3 linked regions of the Lytechinus pictus genome follow. The protein of the gene in region 3 interacts with the protein of the main gene of each other region in a pairwise test. Links are inferred from orthologs where the notes say so. Each region holds a gene or a part of one and is shown on either strand. Other genes may lie near its edges. The genes, in order: gamma-aminobutyric acid receptor-associated protein-like 2, microtubule-associated proteins 1A/1B light chain 3C-like and tax1-binding protein 1 homolog.

Region 1 (3,837 bases), on a different chromosome or scaffold from region 3:
TACCATGGCAACATACCATTACCATGCATTCAAATGAACTTATATCCATGCAGAACACTCTGTTGTTTTCGATATTTAATTCAAATGAATTGGTCAAACCTATATAGATTTTGGCATTTTCATTGTCATTTTCCACCATTCATCTTTTCCCACCATAATATTGATTTATGATGGCAATTCAATAAATGCCCCCAACGTCATTGGCCAAAGTTCATTTACCTTAAATTACCTTTGACCGTGGCTCGGCATGACCTGAAACTCACTATAGGATTTTCACTGACTCCCTTATTTCTAAGTTTCATGATAGCTATAAAAACCTGTAGGCCTATTTCAAACTTATTACATTTCACAAACTTATCCTGTTTTAAGATTTCAATGTTTACGACGCCGCCCGCGTGGCGCCGTCGGAAAAAGCGGCGCCCTGTCTCTGCAGGCAATCAAGACAATTGTATTTTTCTGCGGGAAAGATAAGCCGTTACCATGGCAATGGATCTTTTGCAAATACTTTGATGACTTGATAGGCCTATATCTAGAAATTGAATTTGGAAGGCTTAAGAATGATAGATTGGACCATTTAAATTGACAGGGTAATGTGCCATATATATAGGCTCAATATGTTATTTTTTTAAAACATATTAATCAGTTGCCATGGCAACGGCGGAAGGAGGCATTTATGAAACTGGCAACAAGCGGATTCATGTTCAGCACCATCAAAATAGAGGAAATGACACAAAAAATCAGATTCTAAAGAAAAGTCTACTTGAAAAATTATGACAATTCCGTTTATATAGGCCATATACTCTTACAATGATTATCATACACATTCAGGGTGAGCGGAGTTAGGGCAGGCTGCTATCTCAATGTATGCCCTCGCTAATTCATTCACACAACAAATATTCATTCTAGAAAAATTTGTCATGACGACATATCAGGACCTCCCGCACCTACGACTCTCACATTTTCATTCATCATATAAGAATATAACATTTTTCACTGTTTTAAGGAGTTTTTAAAGTGATTGAAAAAAAAACGTAATTTGGTGCAGTTGCGGTACAGTTGATCGAAGTTCAAACAGTCGGGTTACTTTACATTTAAAGCAGTATTTCACGATGATTTATTAAGGGATTGATTTTATTTTTCCACACTTGGTTTTTTCATGTAATGGTCTCCTCTTGGCTGCTTAATTATGCGAGTATACTAAACAATAAGGAATTTGGGACGAATTTAAAATGATAATCATAATAAGCAGCGTGCGCATCGCGCTTGTGAGGGTGAGCGAGAATTGGGCAGCGTACGGTACCACTCATGAATATTCACGAATACGAAACGCGCCGAAATAAACAATGATGTTATCACGAGATGCATGCTGACACGGAAGTAGATGCGGTATTTATACATTGGAGCTTCAGCTGTGTTATTGTGCAATGAATATTGTAAACAACAGACAAACGTTAACCGCAGCAGCAGAGTTGTTTCTGTAGTGTAGAGAAAAATCGGAAATTCGAGATCATCTCAACAGTAACTTGTTACAAGCAGAACATTTATATGATTTCTCTCATATTATCGGTAGTGAAACTATAGAACATTTTGTCGGGATCATTTCTGTGTGTGACCTACGAGTGCGACAGGGCATTTTTCTGTTGGAAAAAAGGAGCCAAGCGCAACTTCACAAGATGAAGTGGGAGTTCAAAGAGGAACATTCGGAAGGTGAATATTTTCAATTCAATTGGAATTGATTGAACTTGTAAAGGGGAGAGGCTAGAGGAGGCGGGATAGGGGTCAGCCTAAACAAGAGGATTCTGTGATGATTTTTTTTATAAATGTGATATTGATATTTATTCAATTGACAAAGAGTCCTTGCTTGGCTAGATCAGGGGCCGGGGGGGGGGGGGGGGGGGGGTGGGCGGCACTCGACCAAAAAAGTGGTAGGGGTGTGCCGCGGGCGAGACAAAAAACGGGGGCCTTGGAGCGGGCTAATTGTAAAAAGGAGGGTCCTCGGAACGGGCTTCGGAACTACAAATGTTTGTGAAAACGGGGGTCCTTGGAACGGATCGCCAGCGTGTGAGTGCGTATGCATCCCTATGCCTATGGAACGTGCATGCAGCTAGCCCGGCAGCATGGGCGCCGGGTGCGCTAGCGCAGAGGCGATGGTCGGACAGCTCTGCGGCCGCTTTTCACCAAAATTGCGGCTCATCGTAGCAGATCAATGCGACCGGAACGGCGTAACAGAAAATATGCGAAGCTTTGGAGCGGATTTCTTCTTTTTTTCTCGATAAGAAGAAAATGCTATGCTTTGGAGCGGCTTTCTTTGTTCTTTTTCTCAATAAGACAAATATGCTATGCCTTGGAACAGAAATTTTAGTGTAAAAATGGGGGTCCCCTCCGCGGCACGTACCCACTATGCATTATATACTGAGTGCCCCCCCCCCCCCCGGGGGGGGGGGGGGCCGGGGTGGGCAGTAACTAACCTCGTAATATAAGTGAGTGGAGGGGGGGGGTGTTAATGGGAAAACAAGGAGTTTTGGGGAGGAAATTGGACCATTCTGTTCTTTGGGGGAACTGGTCACCAATGCAAATCTTATGAGTGATAGTATTAAGTTAGCCATTATTTGCCATAGCAGGACTAATAGTAACCCAGAGAGCTCCCGCCCGCACAGCGGGCGGGAGCCCAGAAGCTTACCGTGTATTTTACCATTGTCACCGGACTAGGGTGATTTATGGTCTAAATATTTCTCCAAATGAATTGTGAAAACAGAAAGTATACAATTACCATGATTATATGGATGAAGGTCTAACGAGTGGCAGATTCCTGACATCTGGGCACAGTCTGGAACCTCAAAAAAACGAAAAGTTCTCTCCTTCTACCCCGTCTCGATCGGCCATTTTTGTTAAAAATCGTAACAAAATGGCCGATCGAGACTGGGTAGAAGGAGAGAACTTTTCGTTTTTTTGAGGTTCCAGACTGTGCCCAGATGTCAGGAATCTGCCACTCGTTAGACCTTCATCCATATAATCGTGGTAATTGTATACTTTCCGTTTTCACAATTCATTTGGAGAAATATTTAGACCATAAATCACCCTAGTCCGGTGACAATGGTAAAATACACGGTAAGCTTCTGGGCTCCCGCCCGCTACGCGGGCGGGAGCTCTCTGGGTTAGACTAATAGTAATGACTGTACGACTATACTACGAGGTGCATTGCTGTGTAAGTGTGTTCATTTGTCAATTGTAGAGAATATTAATTTGCTTGCCTTTGTTTAGACAGGAATAACCGTCGTTCCTTGGGATTTATTTAACAATTTTCTGACATTTTACTATCATCCCCATTGGTGAGTGAGCCAACGCAGTTCAGCGGAACAACCAAAATACAGAGACTGAAGCTTTCGGTCGAGCCTTTGTTGTGCTGAAAATAAATTGTAATACTACAGTCTACAGAATGATAAAATGGTTTGTATACAACCCAGTACGACAATACACCAGATGATGACCTGCACTAAAGAACTTTAAGAAGGGTAACTTGCATGAGCATGATCATTAGACTGAGAGAGAATTAAATTCCGTAATTAGAATGAACACATGTGAGTGATGCTGATCTCACTACTTCTCTTCCTCCAATATTTGGAAACCTGTCTCAGTCTAACTTGGTTCAGTGGCACCACCGGGGTCACAAAACAAAATTGACATATTCCATGTCAGACTAGGAAATATTTATTGATCAGGGATATTGTAAGGTGCAAAATAATAAGTGAGTTCAGGGGTAGAAAATTATATATATGTTCAAACTTGAAAGAAGCAAACTCAAATCAATCAGCCAAAGGGAAAATAAGTGAAAGTAGG
Region 2 (3,600 bases), on a different chromosome or scaffold from region 3:
GATAGCAGCCCTATAATTTCAAGCATAATTGTTTCATCAAATTCAATTTCAGTGTATGTACAGTGTATGTATTTTTTCAAATTCATGCTCTGTCCTTTCTCTCTTCAACCTTGCAGTAACTCTCAACCATTGACTTGATGCTGAAATCACAAATATTTATATTGTTTGTTAATGGATTATAATGTTGAATTAAAGAATGATTAATTCTTTCTGAATAGGCCTACTTTATAACATCTTCCTGTAAGTTACCATAACTGAAGTGTTTGCACAATGCTTATTAGGAAAGGACACTTTGCTTGTGCGATCATACAGCCGGGTTTATTGCTCTTTAATTAGATAGATTAGCAAAAATTGATTAATAATAAAGCTTAATTATACCTTTAGCTTATTAATGAGTTACAATTAATCTAAACTATGGTACAGAATTGTCATCATTTTAAATTTTCAACATACATGTACATGTACATGAACTCCCCATGGATATTGATACAGTATGAAACTTTCTGAATAAAATCAAACTGCAACTGTAAGGTTTTCACGTATTGAAATTGTGTTTTATAAAATCATTTCAATTGCATTTTTAGAGACAGAATCCTATATAAAATATCTATCCACTTCTACATTCCACACCCAGAATTTCCTGCTAATTGTAAAAGAGGAATTTGTAAATTACATGTTTCCATCATAAGTTTGATATTTAGTTAAATAATACAATAAAATAATAAAATTTACATGTTTTCATAAATATTTCAAATCTTACAGTATTATAAACAAAACTTATCGAAAACATCAGATATTTTACAACCTTCAACTTTTACTCAAATTATTTGAACATTCAAAGTCCAATCATTGTGTCACCTCTTTCTCAAAAAGTGATAAATCCCCCTCCACTTCTCTTACAGTGCTCCTCTTTCTCCTCCTCTTCCTTTCTCCTTCATCCTCTTCCTTCCTCTTCTTCTCCTCCTTCCTCTTATTCTTCTTCTTCCTCTCCTTCTTCTCCTTCTCCTCTCCCCCTCCTCTTTCTTCTTCTCCTCCTCCTTCTCTTTATCCTCCTCCTTCTTCTTTTCCTCCTTCTCCTTCTACCCCTCTTTCTTCTTCTTTTTTTTTCTTCTCCTTCTTTCTTCTCTCATCCTTTTTTGTTCCTGCTCTTGTTCTCTACTTTTTTCTTCACTTGGAACTGAATTTGGTTTCCTTAGTTGCTAAAGAAAAGGATTGTCTTTCCTCCTTCTAGATGGGTATTTTAATGAAATGAGGGAGGCGGATACAGTATAATGGGGGGGGGGGGGGGCTCCAATACAAAGTCATGTCACATAAACTCCATCACTGTTTCGGAATATGGAACTATTTATCTCTCTTTCTCACTGTTATACTACCATTTCTGAAGCAGGTTCTGACTTCTGAACAAAAAGTAATAGTACTATTAAATTAAGTTCCATAAATTTGTATGAAAGAAATAAATTGTCTCATGATCAGTAGGCCTATACCAATACAGTAGTTGGCTAGTTGCCAAGATGCATCATTTATTAACATCATCAAAATGTTGTTCACATCAAACTTTCATAATACACCATCATAAATTTCTTGTTTGTGGTGTATTAAACTGAATCTAAATAAACAAATCAATCATAATAACAAGGTCAAGAATAAATAATATTAAACAAAAAGGTTAGTATTTAACAATGAGGCGTTTTATATCTTCATAATTCAAACAGACAATATAACGTCCCATCATTTAAGTGGTAATTGAGATAAACCTTTTCCATTAAATAATAACATTCGGAAAAAAAACTGGGTATACCTATCTCATTCAGACAAAGAACATCGAACAATCACCACGGCATACAAGTATGCTAAGTACTACGTGACTGTACATCGCACAGTAATGCACAGCCGCATATGAATTCTACTTACTAAACGTTTTGCGTTGCTTGAAAGATTTGTATACTTTTTCATCCTTCTCTTCAGCTTCGATTGTCTTCTTGTCTGTTCCCATCGTGGCAGTACACCTCTAAAAATCCACGGGGAACGTTAGCAGCGATTTGCAAGATAAGGTTGAAATTTTAAATATTAGCTCCAATAAAATCCAGACTGTCAGGCGGTGAAACAGTTCCTCAGCAAGCTAAAGTAAACAAAATTCACGAACGCGCTCCCAGTTTACGGTACGTGTGCAAGGTTCTGTGTTCTGTCTGTATGCAGACAAGCGTGGGCCAGCTGATCTTTGTTTGGGAGTGACGTCACTCTGCTTTTAATCATCGTGGCAGAAGGGGGGGGGGGGTCTTGGGTATATTGATGCCAAAACAAGAATAAAATTAGAGGGGGAATAGTGTAAAAATCAAGGTATATGTAATGTATTCAAGTCCACCCCGAAAGAAAAAAGTTGACCTATATAGATCCAGATGAAAGTCAAACAAGCGACATATGCTAATAATTTTATTAAAATCGGATGTAAAGTAAAATTTTTTAAGTTTCGGTTATTTTTTACAAATGTATTTTTCACATTTATATTCACAACTCAGTGATAAGCAAATGAGAGAGTCAATGATGTCACTCTCTTATGTTTTTATTGTAATACAATATTTTAATTTCTGTATATATAGATTTGACAATAAGGGCACTGATTGAAACACAAAATGTTAAATAAAATAATGGTAATTCTACAGGTTCAGGGAGGAATAAAACTGATTCACATGAAAACCAGGCATGAAAATAAAGAGAAAATTTTAGTAATATCAAATTTCATAAAATAGAATAAAAATAATAAATGAAATATTGAGTGGATGATGTCATCAATCCCTTCGTTTACGTACTAACCAGGATGTGCATTCAACTGTTTTGTGAACATTTAGAATATCAAAACAGTCGATTTTGATGAAATTTTCAGTGTTATTCTTGTTCAATTTTATCTCTTTATTCAAATTAAATTTTTGTTAGGGTGGATTTGCCAAGTAATATACTCGAATGGCGCCACTATATTAACTCTATTAAAAAAAGAAACTAAACCCTAAACTAACACATGTCCTTCACAGGCATGTTTAAGTGATTGGCTCAATCGCAAAGAAGCTACGAAGTTAACATCAAAATTAAAAATGACTGGAACAATCTCACAGCCACACACAGGTCCTCGGGAGATGTCCTGCAAAGCGGCGTCCCCTCCCCTGGATCCGCCTATGACCCCCCGCCCCCCGGGAGTTTGTCAAGAATTGGATATAAAAGTCGCGTTTAGAAAGCATTTAAAAACAAAATTCTTCGAAAATAGTCAAAATTCACAGTGAAGGATGAAAACAAATATTTAAGAAAACTATTTATTTCATTATACGCAAGCAATAAAAAATATCCTTACATTGCATGTAAACTAAGAATTAAGGGAAAATAAAAGGGTTTACCCTTTAACTTGCCCCGTCAGGTGCAATTATTTTTCTTTCATTTTTTTCAGTTATGAAATTGAAAATTTTATACAAGAATATGCTTCATAATTTATTTTCCCTTCAAAATAATCGATTACTTTTTTTTTCTTTTAGTGGGTACATGGGGGGATGCTTGCTTTGCCCTCAATACTTTATTTTGGGGTGAGAGAAAGTGCCCCCTCTGACACCCCCTCCC
Region 3 (3,837 bases):
CCAGATTCTAGGTCTAAATCTAATACATGCGCGATAGCCTGCATGTTCTTTATTTAAAATGTGCTTAAATTATCCAGTTTCAGATCAGAATATCAATAATTGTCCGCTCACGCTTCATGATCACATTATTAATGATACCCAATTAACCATGTATTCATGATTTACATAATATTAATAGAGTGTCCCGCGCTTTTAGATCTAAAATCTCAATTTTCTCCCTCTCGCGCTTCGCGCTCGCATCAATTGTTTAGTTACATACCTATCCCATTTATGATTACAAAAGGTGCTTAGAATGACCATTTATGAGGTCGCCTTTGTCAATTTTTTTAGCTCGCGCTACGTGCTCCCATTGTTGAAATATATACCGTCTTCGCGCTATAGGCCTACTGTAAACAGTCATAACAGGTCCCTTTTCGATCATGCTAGAACAGTTCGCGCTTGGCGTTCGCAGTAATTATCTAGTTACATACGCATCTTGTTCAGGTTCACAAATTACATTGCCCAGAACTAAATTTTCAGGACAAAATACATGAAAGTTTAACAAAAAATTACTCGCGCTTCGCGCTCGCACTTTTTATAAAGGGCTTATGAGATTATTTCATATTTATGTTGGTTTTATAAAAATAATTAAAGCTAAGAAGTGACTGATCGGGGAAAATATAGGTGAAGATAATTTTGGGCCCGTCCCCTATTGGCGAAAGTCGGATCCGCCCTAGACACATACGGTACACACACACGTACACACAAACAGAAAAAATGTTGCCCCCCCCCCCCCGGAAAAAAATCCTAGCTACGCCACTGGGTGTCGTCAACGAGAGATTCGGAGGAAAAAGTTCTCCGAATTTGTATTTTGCAATAATACTTTCGACATTTGCATCTTGGACCTACAATGTTCGCATAGACCCATGCATGAACCAGCTCTATGCATGCAAGCTGTTGAGTGTTGGAATTCCCCATTTCAGTATGACATCTAGTCTATAAACAGGAAAGTTTATGAAAAATTATAGATCTAAAGATAAATCAGCTTACTTAGGCAAATTGTAATTGTGATTCAATCAATACTATAAAAAAAGGCTTTAAATTTGACGACGAAGAAATTAGTGGAATTATTTCATAATTTACGATTGACTTATTTATTTGTGTCTTTTTTTTCCTAATAGACTTGATAAAGACTATAGGTCAACCCAGAGGGCATGTTTCGTCATATGTTATTTTCACAACAAAAGTGTTGAGCAGATATACAGATCGGTCAGAAGCGTCGAACATCTACGGAAATTAGTACGATATTGCACGAAGTAGGAAATGCAGACGTGGATTAAAAAAGTAAGCCGTTTTGTATTTTGTGAGTTCATTTGATTTGGTGAGGTTGAGGCCTGACAATGACGGTCTGAATGAGCTCAGAGTCAGAGTCAGACCTGAATTGTCAGAGTCAGACTCTGACTCTGTAATATTCCCGTTTGGTGGTTGTTCCGCTGAATTGAACTGCGTTGGCTCCACTCGACTCACAAATAAATAGTGAGCTTGGAAGATGGAGGCCCGTACTATTTAGCAGTATCCAGTAACGTTAGACATGTTAGTTCTAACATTCGGCGGAAATCCGATTTTAGGATTTTTTTTTTTTACTTTTTAGTAACATAGACCTAGGGCCTACCGGTAACATTTCAGAAATTGTTAAATAAATCCCTAGAAACGATGGTTATTCCTGTTTAAATTGAGAGTAGGGAGTTCGACTTCGATGACTTTTTGAAATCTTGAAGAATCCCAACAAATTTGATATCATTGGAAAGCTTGTGAAATAAGAAAAATAACGGTGCTTCATTTAACTCATTGTCTGATAGTGATATATTGACGGAGATATTCCAATTTACAGGGGAAAATATGCAGATTTTGTTCTGTCAAAAAAAATATTAAACTAGCTTTTTTGAGTGGGGGAGACAGTTGCTTTTTGAAATCTTGAAGGAATCCCAACAAATTTGGTACCATTGGAAAGCTTGTGAAATAAGAAAAAGAATGGTACATAAATCAACTCATGATGTCAAATATTGACAGAGATATTTCTGTTTAAACTAGCCAGGCGGCTTCTAGAGAGAAAAATCATTTACTAACGTAAGGTTACTCTCATACGAAGCCAGGGAGTCCTCCTTATTCATCTGCGTGTACCGCAAAAAACCCTGAAACTTTCGCCCCCGAGATTTCTACTTTCCTTCTAAAAGATCTAGCTCTAAATCATGTACATGGGATAAAACTTCATTTCCGACATTTCTACACTCTCGTTGTTATTTTTAAACAAGAATTCATCAAAAAAAATGAAAAAATATTGTGAAAAGACGGAAGAGACTTGCCCGATGTTTACGCCGCCATCTTGTTTCTTATTGTACTTCCCCAACATTACGCGACGCTCGCGTCCGTGCTCAGACCCTTGAACAAAATATGCAAATCAACTAACAGGCAATGCAAGCGCGAAGATTTTATACATGTATCTGTCTGTTTGTCCGTCCGTCCGTTAACTTTTCCTTGTAAACGCGATAACTTCAGTTTCACTTATTCTAGGTTCATATAATTTTGTGTGTATGATACTAGCATGGATCCCAGGAAGCCTATTGATTTTGAGGTCAAAAGGTCAAGGTCACAGTGACATATTTTCATCCAACCCTTCTGCATTCCTTGTAAACACAATAACTTCAGTCTAACTTAACCTAGGCTCATATAATTTAGTGTGTATGATGCTAGCATGAATCCCAGGAAGCCTATTGATTTTAAGGTAAAAAGGTCAAGGTCACACTGACATGTTTTCATCTTACCCTGCTGCAGTCCTTGTAAATGTGATAACTTCAGTTTAACTTAACCTAGGCTCATATAATTTTATGTGTATGATACTAGCATGGATCCCAGGAAGCCTATTGATTTTGAGGTCAAAAGGTCAAGGTCACACTGACATATTTTCATCTTGCCCTTCTGAAGTCCTTGTAAATGCGATAACTTGAGATTAACGTAACCTAGGCTCATATAATTTTGTGTGTATGATACTAGCATGGATCCCAGGAAGCCTATTGATTTTGAGGTCAAAAGGTCAAGGTCACACTGACATATTTTCATCTTGCCCTTCTGAAGTCCTTGTAAATTGCGATAACTTGAGATTAACGTAACCTAGGCTCATATAATTTTGTTTGTATGGTATTCGAGCATCGATCCCAGGAAGCCTATTGATTTTGAGGTCAAAAGGTCAAGATCACAGTGACATGTTTTCATCTTACCCTTTTGAAGTCCTTGTTACCGCGATAACTTTAGTTGAACTTAACCTAGGCTCATATAATTTAGTGTGTATGATACTAGCAATTCTATTGATTCTGAGGTCAGGAGGTCAAAGGTGAAGTCACCATCTTCCACTCTTCTTGCTTGACCAATACATGTAGCTCCATTTTCTGCATAACAGACGGGCGTATTATGTGCTCGCCTTAGCGACACTCTTGTTAGTGCATGAAATACAAATTTGGGTTTGAATCTATAAATAAAGCCCTTGAACTGCTTATTTTTTATTCTAAGGAATTCTGATCAAATGCATATAAAATTTAAAAAAAGTCAGTATAAAATGGTTTTTATGTTTTTTTTATATTATGTACAGTTTTTTTTTTTTAATGGAAATTATTGGCAATAATTTTCCATTCATTATCAAAAAGTACAAATAAAGATACAGATTCATATTGGCTTTATACATGAAATCACGTTTTTCAGCAAATCGGGGTCTGACATGCACTTGTTTAATATCATAACCGCGTACCCATGCATACACCCCTTTATGGCGTGGCCCTGTCATATTTATGGACTTATCATAGAAAT

What was found.
Region 1: the proteins of tax1-binding protein 1 homolog (region 3) and gamma-aminobutyric acid receptor-associated protein-like 2 interact in binary tests that used the Homo sapiens proteins (3 or more experiments, as listed by UniProt). The link is inferred for Lytechinus pictus from reciprocal best matches to the Homo sapiens genes TAX1BP1 and GABARAPL2.
Region 2: the proteins of tax1-binding protein 1 homolog (region 3) and microtubule-associated proteins 1A/1B light chain 3C-like interact in binary tests that used the Homo sapiens proteins (3 or more experiments, as listed by UniProt). The link is inferred for Lytechinus pictus from reciprocal best matches to the Homo sapiens genes TAX1BP1 and MAP1LC3C.

The regions. Positions count from the first base shown.
Region 1 is NC_087246.1:27,481,947-27,485,783, forward strand, and holds the start of gamma-aminobutyric acid receptor-associated protein-like 2, read left to right. Parts: upstream 1-1,373; 5' UTR 1,374-1,673; coding exon 1,674-1,707; intron 1,708-3,837. UniProt on the Homo sapiens protein: Ubiquitin-like modifier involved in intra-Golgi traffic. Modulates intra-Golgi transport through coupling between NSF activity and SNAREs activation. It first stimulates the ATPase activity of NSF which in turn stimulates the association with GOSR1.
Region 2 is NC_087251.1:17,740,762-17,744,361, reverse strand, and holds the start of microtubule-associated proteins 1A/1B light chain 3C-like, read right to left. Parts: upstream 2,231-3,600; 5' UTR 1,994-2,230; coding exon 1,912-1,993; intron 1-1,911.
Region 3 is NC_087247.1:54,054,637-54,058,473, reverse strand, and holds the start of tax1-binding protein 1 homolog, read left to right. Parts: upstream 1-1,160; 5' UTR 1,161-1,323; intron 1,324-3,837.